2 linked regions of the Lonchura striata genome follow. The protein of the gene in region 1 interacts with the protein of each later gene in a biochemical or structural test. Links are inferred from orthologs where the notes say so. Each region holds a gene or a part of one and is shown in the gene's direction. Other genes may lie near its edges.

Evidence for each region.
Region 2: the proteins of XIAP (region 1) and SEPTIN4 form a complex in vitro, tested with the Homo sapiens proteins (4 studies listed by BioGRID, with this or other methods). The link is inferred for Lonchura striata from reciprocal best matches to the Homo sapiens genes XIAP and SEPTIN4.

What each region holds. Positions count from the first base shown.
Region 1 is NC_134616.1:9,795,407-9,803,205, forward strand, and holds the start of XIAP (E3 ubiquitin-protein ligase XIAP), read left to right. Parts: upstream 1-4,713; 5' UTR 4,714-4,798; intron 4,799-7,799. Other genes in the region: THOC2 (THO complex subunit 2), read right to left, coding at 3,695-3,756.
Region 2 is NC_134622.1:1,508,766-1,516,654, forward strand, and holds the start of SEPTIN4 (septin-4), read left to right. Parts: upstream 1-4,817; 5' UTR 4,818-4,877; coding exon 4,878-4,913; intron 4,914-6,480; coding exon 6,481-6,780; intron 6,781-7,005; coding exon 7,006-7,099; intron 7,100-7,209; coding exon 7,210-7,296; intron 7,297-7,889. UniProt on the Homo sapiens protein: Filament-forming cytoskeletal GTPase. Pro-apoptotic protein involved in LGR5-positive intestinal stem cell and Paneth cell expansion in the intestines, via its interaction with XIAP. May also play a role in the regulation of cell fate in the intestine.

The sequences.
Region 1 (7,799 bases):
TCAGTGAAACTGAGAAACCTGGCAGAAAACTGGTCAAAACCCAAATCTCCAGCCACCTCTGCAAGTTGAAGCACTTACTAGGAGGCCACAGAGGCACCCTGCTGACTGAAGACAAGGTACAAGCCCTCCTTTCCAGTAACAAGCTGAGTGATTAGTTCATCTAGTCTTAGCTGAGTGCATGAAATTAAAATCAAAACAGTTGCACCTTCACAAGACACAATCTGGTAAGTGTTCATTTGACTTATTACTCTGACCTGGTAGCTCATTGCTGCAAGCTTATGATGGAGGACTTCCCCTGCTCTACTAAAACCTACATCTCTTCATCTGAAAGTAAAACTGTCAAAAATATTTTTAAAAAAACACAAAATTACTTTTGAAAACCACAGTTTCAAAATTAAATTTATTTTGGACTATGATGGGATAGATTCTGAAACAGTGTGAACAAGTTTGCATGGCAGAGGCAGCACCGGAACTGAGACCTCCCAACTTGTACACCACGTCCTATAACCTCCATTTCACTCCCACATGGGGATTAAAGCAGTAATTATCACAAAGTGCATGTGCCTGCTAGCATTTAAGTATATGCATAACTCAACTGATGCAGGTAGTTCTTTAGCTGAGATAAAGTACAATCAAGTGCATTTTGCAGATAGGATGGCACAACTAAACCAAACTCTCTTTTGCTGATTCTCAGCCCTTCACTTGCATGAGCAATGTTACAGTGTTGAGTTAAAGTAACGACCAAGCTACAAGCGCCTGAAAGATCAATTCCCAAAATTTCACATTCACAGAATGTTAAGCTTCTTCAGTTTACCCTGAGGCTTAACATAGTGTATGAACTGCCAGGCAGGTACTCTATTAAAGCCCTCCATCCATGCTAAAGGCTCCTTGATGCGTTGAATCTCTCACAAAACAAGGTAAGGTACCAGTTACTATGTAACTTATAAATGCCCATGTGGGCTGCAGTCATAGATCAGCATCTTCTTGTGGAAATAATTTTCCTTCAAACACAGCACACACAAGTAGGTCTACAAGGAGTCCAGACTGAGCAGCGTAAGTCATCACACTTGGATTCCAACTTCATTTGCACACCAGTATCTGGCAGTAGCAAATAAATGAATATATTTTAATAAAGTGTACTTAGAGACAGATCTGAACTTGAAACTACCACATTTGTGTATTTTTATTAGATACTATTACACGTCAGTAGCTTAATTAATTAAATCCAAAGCTTGTACAGTTTTGACCGATGTCTCTGAACAATGTCTTGGAAGCAAATGGTCACTGCTGCATTACTAATTAACATTATGACACTCTTAAGACATAAAATCCTTACCTTCTGATTTCTGGATAGCACTGTTAAATCATGACAAGTTGATCACATAATCAAAAATATCACACCATTGAAAAAAATAAAATACAAAAAAAACCCAAAACAAAAAAAAAAAGTATAATTATCTTAGAGTATCCATTATTAATCCTAGTAGATTAATAAATTCTAGTAGAAGTTGAAATGCCAAATTGAAAGAAAGCATTTTCTTCTCTCAATATAGTTTCATATTCCCCCAAAACATAGAAATGTGTTCTCATTTAGGTAACTACTGCCAAAATACTATCTCAACTGATCTAGCCAGATCCTGTAAGCCATTTCATACTCCAGCAAGTAAATATTTTTCCATAAGAACTAATCTTTTTTAGCAATTATGAAGGGTTTTTATCCCCCTAAAATGCCTACCAAAAACCTTCTAAATTTTTGTAATTCTTCTATTTGCTAGTAATGTCAGTTTTGCCATTCTGTAGCATCCTTCCCCTCCCCACTTTTCTAACATCATTTTAATGAATTGTCCTCACTTTCAACCACAAAGACCAAGGGTAAACTTACACCTAGACGTAATTTTTATTCTTGGGCATACTCGTATTAGACAAATAATTCAATAAAAATAAGTAGTGTTATTGCATTTATTCCCTTTTTACTTTAATGCTTAAAAACACTTCATGTGTTTCATTCTGAAATGATAGCATCCCAGCTGCGTTTTCCTCTAGTTAATCAGAAGATAGGAAGTTTTGGAAAAAGAAACAAAAAGTTACACACTGAAGACTCTCCCATTAAAGCTGTCTTCCTAAAAAAGTTCTCTAAATATTGTCTACATGCATATACTTTAGATTCCAGAAAATAAGTTCATGCATATTTCTCAAATTTCTAAAGCTACCACTGCAAAACCTGACAACTGTTATCCAGACACAATTACATTTCTTTTAAAACATATGGCCTCATCTGCAAATTGCTCTTTAAGTCACGCCTGGAACACCATTTAAGCAGTCTTCCAAATGAAGTGCAAGTACCACAAATACAAGAATCTAGCTAATCATTTTGTTTTATTGGTCCCACAGCAGATGAACACTCTCCTCCCACCCTGTTAAAGAAGTCCTGCTCTGAGGGGAGAGAACAATCCTAGAAGGTTTTATCATGGTCACAAGCCATGTAAGTTGCCTCTTACAAAGCTCAGAGAGCTGGGAACCCAGTGAGAACAGTGCAGTTGCCATTACGTGATCAGCTGTGAAATGTCTGTTCTCCTGCAAACTCCACCAGCCTCTCAACATGTTCAGCTTGTGTACTAACACAAATAATGGCTCCAGCATGATTCAAACTAAAAATTACACGGCTATAAAGGGGGCCCCCTTCACTACAAAATGGTGGCTCTGGAAAGAACAGTGTTTTGTGCCGGGATTCTCTACATTCTCTAATCTCCAACCCACTGCCATTTCCCCTCATGCACAAAGAAAATTCATTGCCAAAGCTGCACAAGCTTTCAGAAAACACGAACAAAAGAAAATAAAATGAGTGATTATCAGGAAGTGTTTCTCTAAGTGATCCCTGCAACATTCATATTTAAAACTGAAAAATTTAAAATTTTGTTGTTTCTTACAACAAAAAGCAAAAGCACATGGAAGAATTAAAATAAAAGCGCATAAAAAACATATAGCTAGTGCAAAGAACACCCCTGTTAAGCTAACAGAGAAACATGAAATGACCAAACTGGTGAAGCGCCCTTTGAAGAGCTGTACTCCTGAAACACAACATTTAGTGAACTTGCCACATAAAGATGGCTTAAAACAAACACAGGCCCACAATGGAAAGCTCCTGGCACACCTGGATTAGTTTGAGAGGTGGCAACCGAACCCCTCCGTGAACAAACGTTACTTTGTGGAATAGAACAGGAGTGACTACCTAACCGTACTCTGCCTGGATCAAAGAATACAGGGCCAGTCCCACCGGAATCGGTAAAAAAGCGGGAACGGGGGCTGAGGCCTCTGCCAGAAAGGTCAGTACTGTAGAGCAGCGACACAGGCACGCTTCGGGGTCCGCATTACCTCGGGGGGCGGCTGAAGATGAGCCCGACCCCCGCCAAGCCCGGCCCGGAGCTGGATGGGGCGCTCGGGGCGCCGGCACAGCCGGGCCCAGCTACGGCGGCCGGGCGTCGGCGGAGGGCGGCAGCACCCGGCCGGACCCGACGGGAGAGCGGCCCAGGCCCTCCTCCCGACCACGGCTTCGACCCCACGTCCAGCAGCAAGGACGCAGCCCCGGCCGAAGGCCTCTGCGCCGCCCCCCAGCCTCCCCGGGCCGCCGAGGCCCTCGCCCCCCTCTCGCAGGCCGCAGCGCCCATCCCTCCCCACGGCGAGGCCCCGCACTCACAACTCGCTCTTGCCGCCTTTCTCCCAGTTCTTTATCCACTCGGCCGGGAGCAGCGCCGCCATCTTCCCCGTGCAGCGCCGAGGGCCCGGATGGAGCAGCGGCGGCGCCGGGTCAGAGGGGACGGACGGGCCGCGAGAAACCGCGGGACGCGGCCGCGCCGAGCGGGGAGGCGGCGGGGCGGACTGCGCCTGCGCGCGGGGGCCGCGGGGCGGTGCCACGCCCGCGCGCGTGCGTTAGAACCGCGGGGCGGGGCGGGGCGCCTCGCGCGCGTGCGCGCTGAAGTCCCGGGGGCGTCGGGCTCCGCGGGCGCGCGTTAGGGACGCGTGGTGCTGGGGGCGTGCGCGCGCGCGCGCGCATTAGAGCCGCGTGGTTTTGTGTGTGCGTGCGCGCGTTAGAGCCGCGTGGTTGTGTGTGTGTGTGTGTGTGTGTGTGTGTGTGTGTGTGTGTGTGCGCGTGTGCGCGCGTTAGAACCGCGTAGTGGTTTGTGTGTGCGTGTGCGCGTTAGATCCGCATGGTTGTGCGTGTGTGTGTGCGGTTAGAGCCGCGTGGTGGTGTGATGGTGTGCGCTGGTTAGAGCCGTGTGCCGGTCTGTGTGCGCGGGTTAGAGCCGTGTGCCGGTCTGTGTGTCCTGGTTACAGCTGTATGCCGGTCTGTGTGTCCGGGCTACAGCCGTGTGCCGGTCTGTGTGTCCTGGTTACAGCCGTGTGCCGGTCTGTGTGTCCTGGTTACAGCCGTGTGTCAGTCTGTGTCTGTGTGTCCTGGTTACAGCCATGTGTCAGTCTGTGTCTGTGTGTCCGGGTTACAGCCGTGTGTCGGTCTGTGTGTCCTGGTTACAGCCATGTGTCGGTCCGTGTCTGTGTGTCCTGGTTACAGCCGTGTGCCGGTCTGTGTCTGTGTGTCCTGGTTACAGCCGTGTGTCGGTCCGTGTCCGCGTTAGAGCCGCGGCGCGCGCGCGTTGGAGGCGTGGGGCGGGTGCCCGCGCGTGGCGCGTGCGTCGGTGCAGCGGGCGCATGTGCGCACGCGCGGTGCGGGTGCGCGTGAGGCGCCGCCGGCCCCGAGCACGGCGGAGCGGCGAGATGTCTGCTCGGAGAGAGGGCGAGAATGGTAAATCGTTTGAATAAATAGGCGGTTAAAAAGGGATTGTGTAAAGCTTGCTATGACACGTCTAAATGGTCCTTCCGATACAAGCACTTAGGACAAGCAGTTGTATGGACCTCGTATTCCGCGTGTCGCCCCTAATGCGTGTGCCTATTTTATTACATGTCGCTTGTCTCCATTAAGTTTCTGCAAGTTGTTCTGTGTTCCCTTCAGTTGCTAATTGGGATATTAGGGTTAAAACACTCCATTTGGTCGGGTAGCAAATGTTTTTAGTCAGACATTTCTCTTTCCTCTCAAGCCACCTACGTTCTCAGTCTTGTACATGCTTCCTCCTCTACAGTAGTGTCAATTGTTTCACAAATACAATGAAACTTCAGCAAATGGGGAAATTGAAATAAAATCTAAAGGTGAGGCCCCACAGCCCCTGTGCCGTTATCGGTGCCAGCACTGCTGTGCTCGCTGCCTTGTTCTCCACTCTGAACTGAAACGTGCAGCTTGCTTGTTTTATATATATATATATATATATAGGTGTAACAGCTTTCCACTCGCAAAATAGCTCTGATCAGGAAGTCTAGCATTTCAGCAAATCTACATAATTCTGCCTGAGACAGGGACTGGTGTTGTTTCAGTTACCATTCTCAGCCAGTTTCTGCGAGCTGTGCAGAATATTGTGCAGAAGGCTGCTTATGAACAACGCCTACTTCAAGGGGATCCCTTACAACCCTAAACTCTGCAGTAACACAAGGAGTAAAGGAGGCAGATTCTCTGCTTCTCATACTTATATTTTAATTATATGGAGACCACATTCCAGGCATACTATATGCAGTGTAATAGAAGATACACTCAGTTTACAAATGCCTAATCTATTTCTGATAGATTATTTTTAAAATAAAAATTCAATAAATATATTGAAAACATATGTATAAATGATAAGCATAGAATTGCAGGCCCGAGGAATAAAATGAGAGGGTGTTATAAGCAAATGCAATAAGTCTATTTAGAAGATAAGCCTAAGAGTCACATAAACAGAAAACAAGAATCTAACAAAATATATTAGGTGCAAGGATGTATGTAGGAATAGTTATGTAAGGTCTGAAGATAAAAATTTGAGATTTTGCCTTCATGATGAGGAGGAAGAGGCAGTCATGGAGAAATGCAGTAGAATAAAGCCATCAAATCATTGCAGGACCAACAGATTAATTCCCAAGTTTACTTAAGGAATTTAAACCTCTTATTTCTTGAAGTATATTAGTAACGGACTGGGACAGGCTGAAAATAAAAGACAGTACATGCAATGCAGAAATACACATGACAGAACCAGTTTTAAAATCTACTCTGAGAAGAGTCTTGATTCCACAGCATTTCTATAGTACTATACAAAACCTTTAGTGGTTATTTAACATAACATTTAATATTTATATAAAATACATTCTCCTTAATTAATATGGATTCTATATATGACATATAAGCTCTAAAACATAGACATTGCATTTTGTATTGCATAAAGTAATGTAGGCAAAGCAAAATATTTTTAAAATAAGTATGTACCAATTCCTTCTCAGAATGACGTATTTTTGACACAGAGTAGTCTGTTCCACACTATAAAGTCATATTCAGTTCTGACTTATCCTTGCTTTTGTGGTGGACATCTCTAGATAGTGAAATGTCTTTCTCCGTAGCACTTGATGTTAGCTGAACTGGGAGGAATTCCTAGGTTAAAAAATAAGACTTATATTTTAGTTCTGTAAAACAGCCTTTATAGTTCATTCTTCATCTTTTCATGAGGCTTTTATTTGCTAGAAAAAGCATCCTGGGCATCCTCAGATTTGTATCAATAAGTCAGAGAACCTTGTTAAAAGCCAGGACAATTTTGTGTTTCTGTTGTTTCAACAGGTTTACATTTACCTTTCTAAATAATGGAATAAAATAAAATGTTGAAAAGAAGGAAGAATGATGCCTGCAAATGCAGGATATGTCACAGCACAATCTTAAATCACCTACTGTGCTTCCTGCCTGAATAAAGAAGTGCTCTGAAGGCTTTGTCCGAGCTACATTAAAGGAAATGCCTCTGTCACCACTATGGTAACAGCTGGATAGCAGCAGGAAGTTATTTAACTGAACAGTAAATACAAGGTTTTCAAGGCTGTAGTACATTATCCAGCAAATACATAGCTAAAAAAATATCAGTGGTAATTGGATCTTATAAAAATGTATTTATTCTTGGTTTTCAAAATAAGTACTACAGCCATCTATTGGGAGAGCTGGAAATGTACAAAAGCAAAAGAAATAAAACATCCAACAGCTCTTTTCCTCTGTATTAACCAGTTCCATTATTCATGTGACAAGGCACAACTTTATTATCTGCTTTGAGGGTTAAACAATTGAGTGCTTTACTTTTTCTGCACAGACAATTAAGAATTACTTTTTGGAAGAAATTATTTTTTTATTATTTGGCTTTAGTATCATGTCCACGTAAGAATTAATTGTTCTAAATTCCCCTTTTTCTTTTAACAGTAATTGTTTCATGATTGTACCAGTTCTTTTTCTGTAGACATTTCCTAAATTCTCACACAGAAAAAATAAAGGTACAAAGGAGGCATGAGTTCACATTGTTAAGATGATTTCCATTTGGTAAAAGCTGTTTAGGCAAGTAAGAATCTTAAACATTAGCTAATACTGGCTGTTTCCATTCATCTGGACAGCTGAAATGAGAAACATTCTTAGACAGTGATTGTCAAATACATCTTGCAACTTTTTGGTTTTTTCATAGCTAAACTCAGTGTCATTGCATCATCCTGAGCTATAAAATGTCCCAGATTTAATGAAGATCACACCATTATGGAGAGCTTTGCTTATTTTCAGCTCACAGAAATCAGCATTCTTTCACTCAGAGTTGTTTGCTTTTCTTACCACTTGGCAGCACAGGCAAGAGCCAACTGTAGATTTAGGTTCCATTTCCAAACGCAATTGGCCTGGATATCTTCTGGTCAGGGCTTAACATGCACAT
Region 2 (7,889 bases), on another chromosome or scaffold:
TGCCGCTCCCCGGCCTCGATGGGCACTGGGCTACCGGAGCAAAGCGGGTGGTTGCTCCGGGCTGTGCCAGCTGGCCAGGTCGAGGGCACCGAGCTCGTCCCACAGTGCCGGGATGGGAGCGCCCGGCTCACCCCGGCAGTGCCCTCCCACCCCCGCGGGGCTCAGCTCTGCTCCTTGAAGGGCAGGGAGAGCCCAGGCTGAGCTCCTGGAGCCCCCGAGCCCCTAATCCCCGGTAATCCTGGAGGAAAGCGCTGGCTGTGGGGATTAGGGATGTAAACAGCCATCCTCACCTGCCTGCCCCTGCCTGCCCCTGCTTGGACCCCCGAATACAGGGTCGAGGTGGCCACCGGTGCTCTCTGAGGCTGTGTTGAGCCTGTGGTGGTTATTTATGGGAATAAAGGGAATGTAGAGCCAATCTGGACACGGCCTGGGTCTATAACGTCCGAGGGAAAGAGATTCCAGGCAGTGATAAGGTTGGGGACAAGGCTGAGATAGTCCCTGTGGAGTCACAAAGCTTCAATCAGAGCCTGACTGGGGCCGGATCTATCTTTTCCTCCTGGGGAATTACCACTGGCTTTTTTCATTGGCAGGGAAACTGAGGCAAGTGAGGAGAAGCTCATGAGAGGGATGTGCTGGGAATGCATGTGACCTCGCCAGCCCCCTGGCTTGGAGTGAATTTGAGGTGGGACAAGGACAGTGCTGAGGAGCAGCTGGGCCGGGAGACTGAAATTTGGGGGAGGGCTGAGCTCTGCCAGCTGCTCGCCACGGGGAGCAGCCGCCGCGGCCAAGGCTCCCCCGGCCCCTTTCATGCCGGAACACGAGCGCTCGCTCCGGGCAACCCCGCCCGCGGTGCCAGCATCCTCCCTGCCCTCAGGGACACGGGGACACAGCCGCGTGCCACTGCCACTCACATGGGCTCGGGGCCGGGGGCATCCCGGGGAGATGCTGCCATCCTTGAGGTGGGATGGGGGTGGGGATGGGGAGAGGGGCACGGCCAGCCTGGGTGCCTGGGTCCCTTTGCCAGCCCACCAGGCAGGGGCAGGATGGCTCAGCAGCCCCGGGAAGGGCTTCGGGAGGGGGAGGCAGGCTGGGATTTTGCAGCGGGAACTCTGGGAGACTGGGACTTGGTGACCCCGGCTCAGTGCAGTCACCAGTCCCTGGTCCCCAGCAGGTGATGTGGGACGTGTGGTGCTGGGGTGTTTTCCCAGTACCTAACACCCCCTAAGTGGTGCCCAGTGTTCCCAAGAGCCAGTGGCTGGTGTGGAGCCTCCTGCGCAGTACCTGCAGTGCAATGCCTGGTGCTGGTGACACTGCCAGGAGGTCACTCACTGTCACGGGGACCATTCCCTCTCACCTGCGCCACTAACTGGTGCTGGGGCCTCGTACCCACTGCCTGCACTGGGCCCTGCCAATGCCCGGCACCCAGTACTGGCGCCCTGTCCCTGGTACTGGTGCCCTGTCCCTGCTGCAGTGTTTTGTTCCTGGCGCTGGTGCCCCAGGGCTGCTGCTGGAGCCCTGTGCCTGGTGCTGCTGCCCTGTGCCACTACCTGGTGCCACAGTGCAGTTCCCGGTGCCCAGTGAGTGCTGCCAGAGCCGTGCACGGTGCCCGGCCCCAGTGCCAAAGCGAGTGCCCGGTGCCGGTGCCAGGTATTGATGCCCGAGCCGAATGCCAGGGCTGGATGCTGATGCCCAGTGCCCGGTGTCGGTACCCAGTGCGTGGTGCCGGTGCCCGGTGTGCGGTGTCTGGTCCCGGTGCCCGGTGCACATTGCTCGGTGCCGGTGCCGACGCCGAGCGCTGCTGCTGCCTGTACCCGTGAGCAGTGCGCGGCGCCGGGCGCTGCTGCCGGTGCCGGTGCCGGGGCCGGTGCCGGTGCCGGTGCCCGGTGCCGGTGCCGGTGATGCCGAGCGGCCGCCCCGCCCGCCCCCCCGCCCGCCCCGCCCCGGGGCCGCCCCCGCCCCCGCCGCTGCTATTTCTGCTAATCCGCCGGGGCCCGGCCGTGCCCATCGGCAGCCGCCGCTCCCGGACGGCGCCCGGCGCCGCAGCCATGGTAAGGCCGGGCGGACGTGGAGCGGCCCGGGCCGGGCTGCCCCGCACCGCCCCGCTCCCGCAGCCCGCTGCCCTCCGTGAAGGTGACGGTGAGCGGGGGCGGAGCGGACCGGGGCCGCCGGTGCCGCAGCGGAGCGCGGGGGGGACGCGGGCGGCGGGGCAGCACCTGCCCGGTGCGGAGAGCGGCAGCCCCGGGGGAGGCGGGGTCCCTTACCGGGGCAGCGCTCGGGAGCGTCACCTGCGTGTCACCCCGTCCTGCGCTCCCCCCACGCGTGTCCGTGCGCGGACAGCGGGAGCCGCTCTGGTGCGGTTCCGCGCCGAGCATCGGTTCCCAGCTCTTGGCAGGTCCCCGGGCTGCGGCGCTGCTGGCACTGCCGGCCTGGCCGGGCCCTCGGCCGGGACCGTCACACGCAGGGAGCCGGCCCGGTACTCACCGGCAAGGTCCGGAGCCGCCGCTGCCATTCCCACCCGCGGGAGCTTGTTCTGCATCTCCCGTCCTGCCTCGCTCCTCCGCGGTGGTGGCAGGTTCCCAGGAGCCGCCCGGCCGGGCCACGTCTCCGCGGGGACCTGGGGCTGTGTCCGGGCTCGGGATGAGGACGGAGGGCTGCGTGGCACCGGCTGGTGGCCGCTGGGCAGGCGGCCTCGGTGGGGAGCGCTGCGGCCGCGCTGCCCCGGCAGCCGCCGTGGGAACCAGCCCGGCACATTCCTCCGGAGCTGGATGCAGGGAAAGCAGGGAGGAGGGCGGCTGGCGGAGCGTGTCGCAGCCGAGCGCCTTCCCGACAGGCTCCAGACTGTGGCTGTGGGATGCACACAGCAGCCTCCGGAACATCGCGGGGGACAGCGGTCACAGCTGGGGACTTCCTCACCCACGCACGTGGGGAGAGTTGGGGCTGGAGGTGCTCCAGAAGGACCCACAGAGGCAGAGCCGCTGCCCCTGCCACCAGTGCCACATCCCTCTGTCCCCAGGGCAGTTCCCAGCTGGCCCGGAGGAGCAGCATCAGCACTGGTCCCCCCTCCCGGGCCTCTGCTCCCGGCTCGGAGTGGGTCAGACCTTGCCCGGCCCCACGCGCTGAGGTGTCACCTGGTTTTCAGCCTGGACAGGCCTCGCTGTCATGCCCTGGCTCACAGGGAGCCATGGTCCCATCCTGGGGTCCCCACTCAGGTGCTCACAGGCCCTTAAAGCTGGAGGATTCCCTGCGGGAGAGGGACTGCAGCTGCTGCACCCAGGGCTGTGGCTCCCATCCCCAGTGCTCGCCTGCCCGGTGCTGACCCCCTGCCCAGAGCCTGCCCCCATCCTTGGGGTGCCCAGCACCCTGCTCCTCTCGGAGCTGCCGGGAGACTCAATTTCCCGTCTGGAATGCTGCTGATGGGTGGGATGGCAGAGCTGGGGGTCCCCTGATTCTGCAGCGGGAGCATCCCGTGTATCCAGAGGCGGGGCCGAGCAGGCAGAGCCCAGATCCCGTCTCCCTGGTCCTGGCAGCGCTGAGCTTTTGCTGGGGGCTTGTCCTGCGCAGGGCTCGTGTTTTTGGGAGAGCTTTTGTGCCTGGAATAGTCAGTCGTGGTGACACCGTGGCTGTGCCGCGGGTGGCATTCTGGGTGTCACCTTTAGAGGGCTTGGGAAGGCCTCTGTCGGCCTGGCGGTAGGGACAGCACCTCGCCGGGATGTTCCCTTCCTTTCCCTGCAGACGCGGAGGCGGAAAACACCTCCCGTGGGAATGTGGTACCTGTGGAACGATGCTCAGGGGCAGCCGGTGGCTTTGTGAGGTCAGGCTGCCCCCGTGTCCCCCCTCGGGCTGTCACCGCGCGGGGACGGTGTGATGCGGGGTGACAGGGGGGACGAGGCTGCGTGTGCGGGTATCGCTGGGGCTGCGGGGCCGCTGTGAGGCCGGCTCACACTCAGCCGCGTGTGTAATCTTCTTACGGGGGCACCGGCACTGCCCCGGGCTCTCGCTGCCGTAAATCCCCGCTCCTGCCGGGAGTGCGGGCTGGGAAAGTGGCCGAGAGAGCCTGGATCGCGCCTGAGCTGCTCTGATGCATCTCGACACGCATCAAGGTGAATCACCATCCCTGCTGACCCCGAAGTGACAGCTGGGGAATCCTGACTGCCACCCACGGCTCCTCCTGGGGCACTGTTAACCCTTCCCCTCCCAGGGATGAGCCGGCAAAGTCGAGGCAGGAATGTCGGAGCTTTTGCCTGAGATCCCCGTGGTGGGCAGCGTAGCTGCTTCTCCCAGGCCAGGGCTGGTCCTTCCTAGCCAGGCCCAGTTCGAGCAAGAGCTTGAAGCCACTTGGGGGAGCTTTAAGTGTCAGGTGCAAAAGTGTGGGAAAACTGGGTTTCTGACCTCAAAGAGGCTGTGGAGCCCTGCTGGGGGATGCTCCAGATGGGCAGTGGGAGTGGACGTGGTGTGCACTGGGATGGAGAGGAATTTTATCCTGGGACAGAGGGAGTTTTGTCCCAGGATGGAGCGGGTTAGGGTTAGGGTTAGGGTTTTGTCCTGGGACAGAGGCATTCCCGACGATTGAGCATCCTCCTGGGCTGTAGCCAATCTGTGTGTTCAGCCCAGGGTGCTGGTGGTCCTGCAGCCCACCCAGGACCTCCCTTGGCTGATGACAGCTGGTCCTTGAAACCTTCACGGCCGGGCAGGAGCTGGCTGTGGCTCTGCCAGGGGTCCCTCTCCCCCGCCGTGCCCCTCGCAGGGGCCGTGCCTGGCTCCTGGGTGCCCGGCGGGACCTGCCCAGGGTGGAGTTATGCTAATGCTGCTCCCCAGCCCTCGCCGCGGCCGGTGCCACTCGGCATCTTCTGCTGGCCACGGGCGACGCTGGCTGTGCCATGGCCACCTGCCCCGAGCTGCAGCCTGGGCAAGAGGTACGGGGGCAGCGCCGGTCCCCGGCGGGGCGAGAGAGGGGGTGGGGGGCACGGAGCACCCCGGTTCTGCGGGAAGGTGCCGCAGCTGATCCTCCGTCCCTGGGACAGCCCTGCCAGGGGCCGCGCTTGCTGCAGGACCCCCAGGGATGCAGCGCGAACCTCGGTGCCGCGGCACTGCCGAAGTCATCGGCTTCGCCGGGGGTGGGAGATGAGGGCGAGCCCCAAAGGGCTGCAGCCCCGAGGGATGGAGCGGCAGGCTGGAGGCGCTCGCCGCCGCTGGTGGCATCACCTCCCATCCCCGAGTGTCCCCGGCCGGGCTGCGCTGGGGCTGGCGCTGAGACCCCCAGGTCAAGGGCGGGGAGGAAGAGGATGCTGCGGTCACACAGACCCACCGAGCACTCGGGACCCGCTGGGGCAGCGGGGAGCACGGGGGTCCCACCTGTGCCCCCCAGCCTGGCGCCGTGGTCCCCGCGCTGTGGCCGCGGGGCAGCGGGAGCGGGGCCGGGCGTGCGGGCGCCGAGGCCGGGCAGCGCCGTGACCTTGTTTCCAGCCCGCTGATTCCGAGCATCTCCCCTCGCCGCCGGCACCGCCAGCGAGCGGGGACACGGCGCAGGGGAGGACACTTGTCCCCATGGAGGGACCTCGCCTCGACGCCCCGCTCTGGGGGGGCACTCCCCCAGCTGGGAGCCCGCAGGGTCACGGCTCCCCCGGCCGCTGCGTGCCTCTTGTTTGGGGCTGGGGTCGCCTGGCAGCTGCCTTGGGGCCTTGGGGACGTTGGTGCCTGCTGGCAGCAGGGCTTGGTCCCACGGGAGCCGCTGCCGGACGCGCCCTTGGGAACGCATCTCCTCCCGCCAGCGCTTGTAAACAGGATGTGGAGCCATCGTCCCTCGTCCCAGCCCCGCCGCCCCACGGGCAGCTCTGCCCGTCCCCCCAGCCCCCCGGGAAGAGCCAGGGGTAGGGGATGGCGGGGTCCTGGTCATGTCCCCTGCCCTGGTTTTCTCCCGGGACTGCGGGGACGGGGGCCCCTGTGGTGACACCCCGCAGTGGGCGGGGGGCATGGGCACCAGGGGACCCCTGCCCCCCATCTGCCTTCCCCCGGCTGCAGCCCCGCTCAGGCCACCCTCCAACCGCTCTTCATCTCTTCTTGGTGTCTCTGCCTCCTTCCGGCCCCCTCCCGGCCCTCCTGGCAGGCCATGGGGCGCGGGGCGGTCCTGGCTGCCCCAGAAGACCCCGAGGAGCGGCGGGGTGCCCAGGGGGAAGGTGCCTACCCCTGTCCCCAGGAGTGCCAGGAGCTGGCTGCCATCCCCACGGCACAAGTCGTAAGAGCCCGAGGTGCACGGGACCACGGCTGTCCCCGCTGCCATCCCCATGGCTGTACCCACGGCTGTCCCCAGGGTGGTGGCTGCTCCCGTGGGGTGGCCGTGTCCCGTCTCTCCTCCCATCCCCGCCACCTTTAGGGTGCATGTGTCCGGCTGCTGCGGCTTGGGGGGTCGTGAGGCTGAGCTGGGTGGTGCCACGTCGGGCTGGCACTGCCACCACCAGTGTCACCTCCTCCCTTGGTCCCCAGATAAAACGTTTCCTGAAGGAGGACTCGGACGAGGCTGAGCTGAGCCAGTTCCTGCGGGATTGCCCACCAGCTGACAGCTCCAGGAAGGTGGAGGCCCCGGAGAGCCGGCGGGAGCCTGGCCAGCCCCTGGGCAGCGTGGCCAGGGTCCCCCCAGACGAAGCCAGTGACGAGAGGGACTCCAGGATTTTCTCCCGCTCCCGGCCCTCGGATTTCCAGCAGCACATTGCCGCCCCCCCGCCCCCCAGCCCCAACCGCCCGCGGAGCCCCTGGGGACAGCTGGACCCCTACGACTCCTCCGAGGTGCAGGATGTGTCCCTGGGGAGGGGGGACACACACGTGGCGTGAGGGGCTGCGGGACGGAGGGTGTTGCCATCTTGTGAACACAAATGGGCAGGCATGGCCGCATCCCCTGGAACTGCAACCCTGGAAATCCCTTGGCGGGTAGGGGGAAGCGAAGCGGGGGCTTTTCAGCATAGGAAGTGGGCTGGTGGTGTCCCTGTCCCATGTCCCCTGTGCCCTCTGCAGGATGACAAGGAGTACGTGGGCTTTGCCACGCTGCCCAACCAGGTGCATCGCAAGTCTGTGAAGAAGGGCTTTGACTTCACCCTCATGGTGGCAGGTACGGGGCTCCAGCCGGCCTGGGGGTGCTGGCCCCCCTTTGCATCCCAAACACCCTGCACTGGGGAGGGGGATCCTGGCTGCTCCCTCATCTTTGTCCTGCTTTCTCAGGGGAATCGGGGCTGGGCAAGTCCACCCTGGTCAACAGCCTCTTCCTGACGGACATGTACAGGGACCGCAAGCTGCTCAACGCTGAAGGTCAGGGGGACAGTCACGCTCCACAGGGGTGTCCTGGGTGACCAGGGCGGTGGCAGAGCCCTGGGATGCTCCTGGGGGCTGCAGCCCCTCTCCCTGGCCAGGCAGGCTCCCCTGAAATGACATGTGCTGTTTTGCCAGCTGCCCACTGGCACTAGGGATCGCTCTGAGGCAGTGGGGAGCCCCCTGCACAGGATGGGGACCTCCCACAGGGACTTTATTTCCACAGGGAAAACAAGCCCTGGCTTGCTGGGGATTGGCTGGAGCTGCAGCATTTCTGGGAGGCTGGGGACAGTCAGGGCGTGGGGCAGAGTGCCAGTTCAGCTGCAGCCAATTTTTGAATTAAAATGGCCCAAACTTGCCCAAATCCCCAGGAGTTCGAGGGGTTTGTTTGATTTGTTTCCGTTGCTTGGAGTGAAAGCCAAAACACACAATGCAGCATCCTTGGGGATGCAGGGACATGGAGGGTCCTGGGGTGAAGGGGCACGTGCAGCCTGGAGCTGTGGGGTCACCTGAAATGCTCCTGCAGCAAGGCCCAGCCCCAGCAGACCCCTGTGCTGCCTGAGCTGGGGTCCTGGGCTGGCAGTGGCACCACC